Saccharomyces cerevisiae S288C: one gene and its partner. The protein of the gene in region 1 interacts with the protein of each later gene in a pairwise test. Each region holds a gene or a part of one and is shown in the gene's direction. Other genes may lie near its edges. The genes, in order: VVS1 and YDC1.

What was found.
Region 2: the proteins of VVS1 (region 1) and YDC1 interact in a protein complementation assay, tested with the Saccharomyces cerevisiae proteins (one large-scale study listed by BioGRID).

Annotation. Positions count from the first base shown.
Region 1 is NC_001134.8:701,958-706,197, reverse strand, and holds VVS1 (Vvs1p), read left to right. Parts: upstream 1-2,142; coding exon 2,143-3,609; downstream 3,610-4,240. Other genes in the region: ALG7 (UDP-N-acetylglucosamine--dolichyl-phosphate N-acetylglucosaminephosphotransferase), read left to right, coding at 1-751; YBR242W (5'-deoxynucleotidase), read right to left, coding at 812-1,528.
Region 2 is NC_001148.4:381,560-384,908, forward strand, and holds YDC1 (alkaline dihydroceramidase), read left to right. Parts: upstream 1-1,895; coding exon 1,896-2,849; downstream 2,850-3,349. Other genes in the region: YPL088W (aldo-keto reductase superfamily protein), read left to right, coding at 406-1,434; Elongator subunit ELP3, read right to left, coding at 3,214-3,349.

The DNA of each region.
Region 1 (4,240 bases):
GTGGTATTATGTTTATATGGCATCGATGGCAATTTTTTGCCCCAACTCCATCAACATCCTGGCAGGTGTTAATGGTTTAGAGGTTGGCCAATGTATAGTGTTGGCCATCTTAGCGCTATTGAACGATTTGCTGTACTTCTCGATGGGGCCATTAGCCACAAGAGACTCCCATAGGTTTTCCGCTGTTTTGATTATCCCATTTTTGGGTGTATCCTTGGCGCTATGGAAATGGAATCGTTGGCCCGCCACAGTGTTTGTGGGAGATACATATTGTTATTTCGCTGGAATGGTATTCGCAGTCGTTGGTATACTGGGTCATTTTTCAAAGACGATGCTTTTGCTATTCATTCCTCAAATCGTTAATTTTATTTATTCATGTCCTCAGCTATTCAAATTGGTCCCCTGCCCGAGACATAGGTTACCTAAATTTAATGAAAAAGACGGTTTAATGTATCCATCAAGAGCAAACTTAAAAGAAGAACCGCCAAAGAGCATTTTTAAACCGATCTTGAAGTTACTATACTGTCTCCATTTGATTGACCTGGAATTTGATGAAAATAATGAGATTATTAGCACCTCTAATATGACGTTAATAAACTTGACATTAGTATGGTTTGGCCCTATGAGGGAAGACAAATTGTGCAATACAATCTTGAAGTTGCAATTCTGCATTGGAATTTTGGCTTTACTTGGAAGACACGCTATAGGCGCTATCATCTTTGGCCACGACAACCTATGGACAGTACGTTGAAGATTATGTATTGGTAGTTACTTTGTACTTTTATGACGCAAAAGTTGGTATTTATGATAATTATTTAGTTATCGATTGAGTCAAATCGGCGAAGTATTTTTGGCGCTGCACGACAAGGTCACTTGTCCAGCCCTTTACTTCGTCTGTTTTTATGCTAGCTACAGCCCCAAAGAAATCATCGAAGTTTTTCGTTCCTTTGTATTCCCTCTCGTACTCAAAACATTGTACAAGCATTTCATATTTATCGATATCTTTCACGTATCTAGCTTCCAATGAGGTGACATTTTCATAAGCCAACCAATCGTCCATAATTTCCTTTGCCGCGATCTCATTGTATGGCTTGATCAGAGCATTACATAGATATTTTATGGTTTCCCATTCCCGACGATGCTTTTCTTCCTTCCCAATAGGGTCAACTGGAGTAATATCGCCAACTAAAGATTCGGCGATATCGTGCACCAATGCGATCCGGACACATTTATCGCGGTTAACCCGCGAATCCTTGATCAGCATGGTGATTATGCTCAATCTGTACATGTGATCTGATATGCTTTCACATTCTTTAATACCGAGGTCAAGATAACCGGTTCTTCTCTGAATTTTTAATTGCTGTACCACGTTCAAAAACGCCAGGATATAGTTTGGATGGGGTTTAGAGAGCTCATTTTTAACATATTGGGGTACTTGGCTTTCAGGCTTCCATTCAGTTGTTAAACGTGTCTTTCCTGCCTCAACAGAACCAGAGCATGATTTCTTATTTGTGATCGTTGCTGTCATATTTTTTTTATGTAGGCTTTCTTTGACAATTGTTTTTTATGAGAATAAAAATAGTGCAGAAGGTTTATTAGAAATGGAAAAGGTTTGCTCCTGCGAAAAAAACCATTCAGTGGGTATTTTCAGGCTTTATAATGACCAATGGACAGAGTAAAACAGTCTAATTATGATAAAACCATATTTATAGATTAAGACTTTTCTTTTATACGTTTCAGTAATGTTTTTTTTTTTTTTAATAAACGAAATAAATTTTTAACATCAGGACCGAAAAAATGCGATGAGCTTTTAGATCGACGAAAAGTGTAAATGATTTACCTAAATATATATATATGTTAGCGAAAAAAGCTTAGCTTCTGGGCACAGTGCTCGGTACACTTTTGGTAGAGCTGTAACGAGCAATGATACGCGGTCTGTAAAACGAACTTGCTTGTGTAGTCATACGTCGTAGGCGTAATGTAAGGTTGTCCGAGAAAAGATGGGAAGTGTGAGGGATGAAATGGATTTCCCTTAAAGTTGCTTCCTGATTAAGGGAATAACAGGAGAACAAAAGTTGCTGAATATCTTTCTCTCTTGGAACAACAACAAAACACAGAGACTAAGGCATAACAAACTAAGTCATGGCTGAAACTGAAAGACTAATGCCTAACGGTGGTTCCCGCGAAACAAAACCGTTAATTACGGGCCATTTAATCTTGGGCACGATAGTTGCTTGTTTGGGGTCGATCCAGTACGGATACCACATCGCAGAGTTGAATGCGCCTCAAGAATTCTTATCGTGCTCCAGATTTGAGGCACCAGACGAAAACATCTCATACGATGACACTTGGGTTGGGCAACACGGACTCAAGCAATGCATTGCGTTAACCGATTCTCAATACGGCGCAATTACGTCTATATTCAGCATAGGCGGACTGTTTGGGTCGTACTACGCCGGTAACTGGGCCAACCGATACGGAAGAAAGTACGTGAGCATGGGCGCCTCGGCCATGTGCATGGTTTCTTCTCTGCTGCTTTTCTTTTCCAACTCCTACTTGCAGTTGCTATTTGGCAGGTTCCTGGTAGGCATGTCCTGCGGCACCGCCATTGTGATCACACCCTTATTTATCAACGAGATTGCCCCCGTGGAGTGGAGAGGCGCTATGGGATCTATGAATCAGGTTTCTATCAATCTAGGTATCCTGCTGACCCAAACCTTGGCACTCAAGTACGCAGACTCCTATAACTGGAGGTGGCTTCTCTTTTCCGGATCCGTGATTGCGGTAGCGAATATTTTAGCTTGGCTCAAAGTGGACGAATCTCCAAGGTGGCTGGTGAGCCACGGATTCGTCTCGGAAGCTGAAACTGCTCTGTTCAAGTTGCGTCCAGGAACGTACCAACAAGCGAAGCAAGAAATTCAGGATTGGCAGCGTAGCCATGGGCACAACCGCGACCCGGAGTCAAGCGAAGAGACTCATTCAGGACCCACACTATGGCAATATGTTACCGATCCCTCATACAAGAAACCGCGCACAGTTATACTCGCCATCTTGTCGTGCCAGCAATTTTGCGGCATCAACTCTATTATCTTCTACGGTGTAAAAGTGATCGGCAAGATTCTACCGGACTACTCGATTCAGGTAAATTTTGCCATTTCCATCCTCAATGTCGTTGTCACTCTAGCAGCATCTGCGATCATCGACCACGTCGGGCGCCGTCCATTATTGCTTGCCTCGACTACGGTGATGACCGCCATGTCGCTGCTGATCAGTGTAGGTCTCACCTTGAGCGTATCCTTTTTACTGGTCACGGCCACTTTTGTCTATATTGCCGCATTCGCCATCGGTCTGGGACCCATCCCCTTCTTGATCATTGGTGAGCTATCCTACCCGCAGGATGCCGCTACAGCTCAAAGTTTTGGTACTGTGTGCAACTGGCTTGCCACCTTCATCGTCGGATACCTCTTCCCGATAGGCCACGGCCTCATGGGCGGCTACGTATTTGCGATCTTCGCCGCCATCGCTGCCATGTTTGCTACATATGTGTACAAGCGTGTACCCGAGACAAAGGGCAAGACTACATACAGCGAGGTTTGGGCTGGCTACTGATCTGTAGCCAGTCATATATACCTAAGCAACTATTTTTTACTTCTTTCTAGCTATTCATCTGTTTTTTATTTTCTTCTTCTTCTAGTAACGAACGGCTACATGAGTATATGCACTCATTTAGTTAGTATCTATGTATATGTACGGAACTAGGCAAACCAAATGGATTGCTGTTGTATGAGATCCGTGTGGCGGAAACCATGACTACCGCTTGTACTGCCGGGGCCAAAATAGCACACGCGCGTCATGAGTCGCTCACGGGCGAGCGTCTATCTGCATATTTTCCTGAGCCCAATATTCGGTTCTGCGTCTTAGCGGCATAAATGCATCCGGCAGGACTGCCGAGAAAAGGAATATACAATGGCAGCCCTCTTGGCGCATTTGATGTATGCGGATTTCCAACCAATCTGCGAATGCATCCGTGCCAAAATGAAACGGCATTTAGCTTGAAAGAGTCGGAATTCCTGCATCAGATGGGTACCATTTTACCACAGTCTTTTGACTCACGCAGAGTACTCGCGTGCAATTGCTTGCAGGTATAATATATACATATATATATATATATATATATATATATATATATATGTACAATTTGTATGACAAGTGGGTGCACCTTTCTCGGTCGGAATTATAT
Region 2 (3,349 bases), on another chromosome or scaffold:
GAGAGCCCAATAATGATAAGACGATTTCTGCATTTAATATACGACTGAGACAGACTTCGTCACCGTGGAAGTATTTTTTGCGAACGTGGAAGTATTTCACCCACGTATGGCAGGCAAGAACGCATTTTCAATAACGTTATTTCCACGGAAAAATGTGATTAGTGTAGTAGGTTAGGAACGGGAGATAACTCGGCCGCTTGGTTTGAATTTGTTTCCCTTCGATTTTGTTTTCATTGCTTGAGTAAAAGAAGCTAAGCTAACATCTGCCTTATTCTTCTCAGCCTTTTCGTATATATATATATATATATATATATATTAGGACCCAGAGAACAAGGTATCATATATTAATTGTCTTGCCAACTATGTAATTTGGCTGTTACGGAAGACCCACATCAGGCGGCAGAAATGGTTTTAGTTAAGCAGGTAAGACTCGGTAACTCAGGTCTTAAGATATCACCGATAGTGATAGGATGTATGTCATACGGGTCCAAGAAATGGGCGGACTGGGTCATAGAGGACAAGACCCAAATTTTCAAGATTATGAAGCATTGTTACGATAAAGGTCTTCGTACTTTTGACACAGCAGATTTTTATTCTAATGGTTTGAGTGAAAGAATAATTAAGGAGTTTCTGGAGTACTACAGTATAAAGAGAGAAACGGTGGTGATTATGACCAAAATTTACTTCCCAGTTGATGAAACGCTTGATTTGCATCATAACTTCACTTTAAATGAATTTGAAGAATTGGACTTGTCCAACCAGCGGGGTTTATCCAGAAAGCATATAATTGCTGGTGTCGAGAACTCTGTGAAAAGACTGGGCACATATATAGACCTTTTACAAATTCACAGATTAGATCATGAAACGCCAATGAAAGAGATCATGAAGGCATTGAATGATGTTGTTGAAGCGGGCCACGTTAGATACATTGGGGCTTCGAGTATGTTGGCAACTGAATTTGCAGAACTGCAGTTCACAGCCGATAAATATGGCTGGTTTCAGTTCATTTCTTCGCAGTCTTACTACAATTTGCTCTATCGTGAAGATGAACGCGAATTGATTCCTTTTGCCAAAAGACACAATATTGGTTTACTTCCATGGTCTCCTAACGCACGAGGCATGTTGACTCGTCCTCTGAACCAAAGCACGGACAGGATTAAGAGTGATCCAACTTTCAAGTCGTTACATTTGGATAATCTCGAAGAAGAACAAAAGGAAATTATAAATCGTGTGGAAAAGGTGTCGAAGGACAAAAAAGTCTCGATGGCTATGCTCTCCATTGCATGGGTTTTGCATAAAGGATGTCACCCTATTGTGGGATTGAACACTACAGCAAGAGTAGACGAAGCGATTGCCGCACTACAAGTAACTCTAACAGAAGAAGAGATAAAGTACCTCGAGGAGCCCTACAAACCCCAGAGGCAAAGATGTTAAGTTAGATTTTCATGGGCCCACTGATATATAGAAGGCTAAATAACGAGAATCATATATACTGTAACATGACACCTGCTGATTTTTACTGATCGTAGCCATTCGGCTCATATTACTTCATGTCCCTTTTTTAAATCCCTCGTTCCCGGAGAGTGGCATAGCATGTCCGATAGCGTACGCCAACCTACAGAATCAGGGGATCAGATTTCCTGAAAGCAACTTATCCATCAGTTTCTTTTTATAATGCCATAATGACAGGTGTGCCTTTCTTATTTTACTTCGCTTGCTTTCTTTCTATTGCATGCTTCAATCTTTGAATATTTGCTAATAGTGAAAAAAAAAAAGGAAATAACTATCTGGTTTATCTGCATTGTTCTTCGTTTTTCAATTCAAGAATTTAAGCAAAAGGATATATCATAGAACCTAGTGAATTTTTAAGAAAGTAAGATAAAGAAAAAAATCAAATGCTGTTCAGCTGGCCTTATCCAGAAGCCCCGATTGAAGGTTATTGGGGCAAGCCAACTTCTCTGATTGATTGGTGCGAGGAGAATTATGTCGTATCCCCCTATATTGCAGAATGGTCAAATACTATTACCAATAGTATATTCTTAATGACCGCCTTCTATTCTACATATAGCGCTTGGCGTAATAAGTTAGAAACAAGGTATATATTGATAGGAATGGGGTTCTCGCTGGTTGGTATTGGTTCGTGGTTATTTCATATGACTTTACAGTATCGTTATCAATTGCTAGACGAACTACCAATGCTGTATGCGACCATCATCCCATCGTGGAGTATTTTTGCAGAAACTCAAGAAATCTTGATTAAGGATGAGAAGAAAAGGAAGGAAAGCTCATTTAGAATCCAAATGGTCATTTCTTTTATCATGTGTGGTATAGTCACCATTTTAACCTGGATTTACGTTGTCGTCCAAAAGCCAGCAATTTTCCAAGTCCTTTATGGTATATTGACGCTTCTAGTTGTGGTTCTTTCTGGCTGGCTGACCTACTATCACGTTCATGATTCATTTGCAAAGAAAAATCTTTTTATTACTATGGTTATGGGCATGATTCCTTTTGTCATTGGGTTCATTTGCTGGCAACTAGATATTCACCTGTGTTCTTTTTGGATCTATATCCGGAGAACATATTTGGCCCTGCCATTAGGTGTTCTATTGGAACTGCATGCTTGGTGGCATCTTTTGACCGGTACTGGTGTCTATATCTTCGTCGTGTATTTGCAATATTTGAGAATATTAACCCATGGAAATCCAAATGACTTCTTATTTATATGGAGGTGGGGATTTTTCCCTGAGCTGGTAAGAAAGGGCTTACCGATTGGTACTTCTTATTCACTGGAGTATCTGGGGCCAATTGTAAATACACAGGTAGATGATGAAACAAAAAAGAATAACTAAGGAGTGATTTTGTGCCATCCATTTGAATCTTCAAAATATATGTACGTATATGTTATGTATGTATATAAATTGTTGTACGTGCAATTGACCGAACGTGTATATTTGTATATAGATATGTGACAAACTAAAGAGCTTACACTTCGTTCCTTCCCTTCTGTTCACCTTTTTTTATTATGCCTGACTATTCTAAAATTTATGTTTATGTGGCGTAAAATATCTTTCTTCTGAAAACACATGCAGCAGTTACTCCCATCATAAAAGGAATTAATAAATGAATAGTATAAACAATTATTTACTTAAATATATTTAAATTTCTGCTTGGAAAACCGGCCATGTCGGCGGCACATAAAAGTTCTATTTACCTTTAAATTCTTTTCGACATGTATGGACCGTCTAGTTCATATCCTAGTTTACCATAGTAATTTCTTACACCAACACCAGAAATAACAGAAATTTTCTCTGAACCATGCTCTTCCTTGGCGATTCTTTCCGCTTCTTCC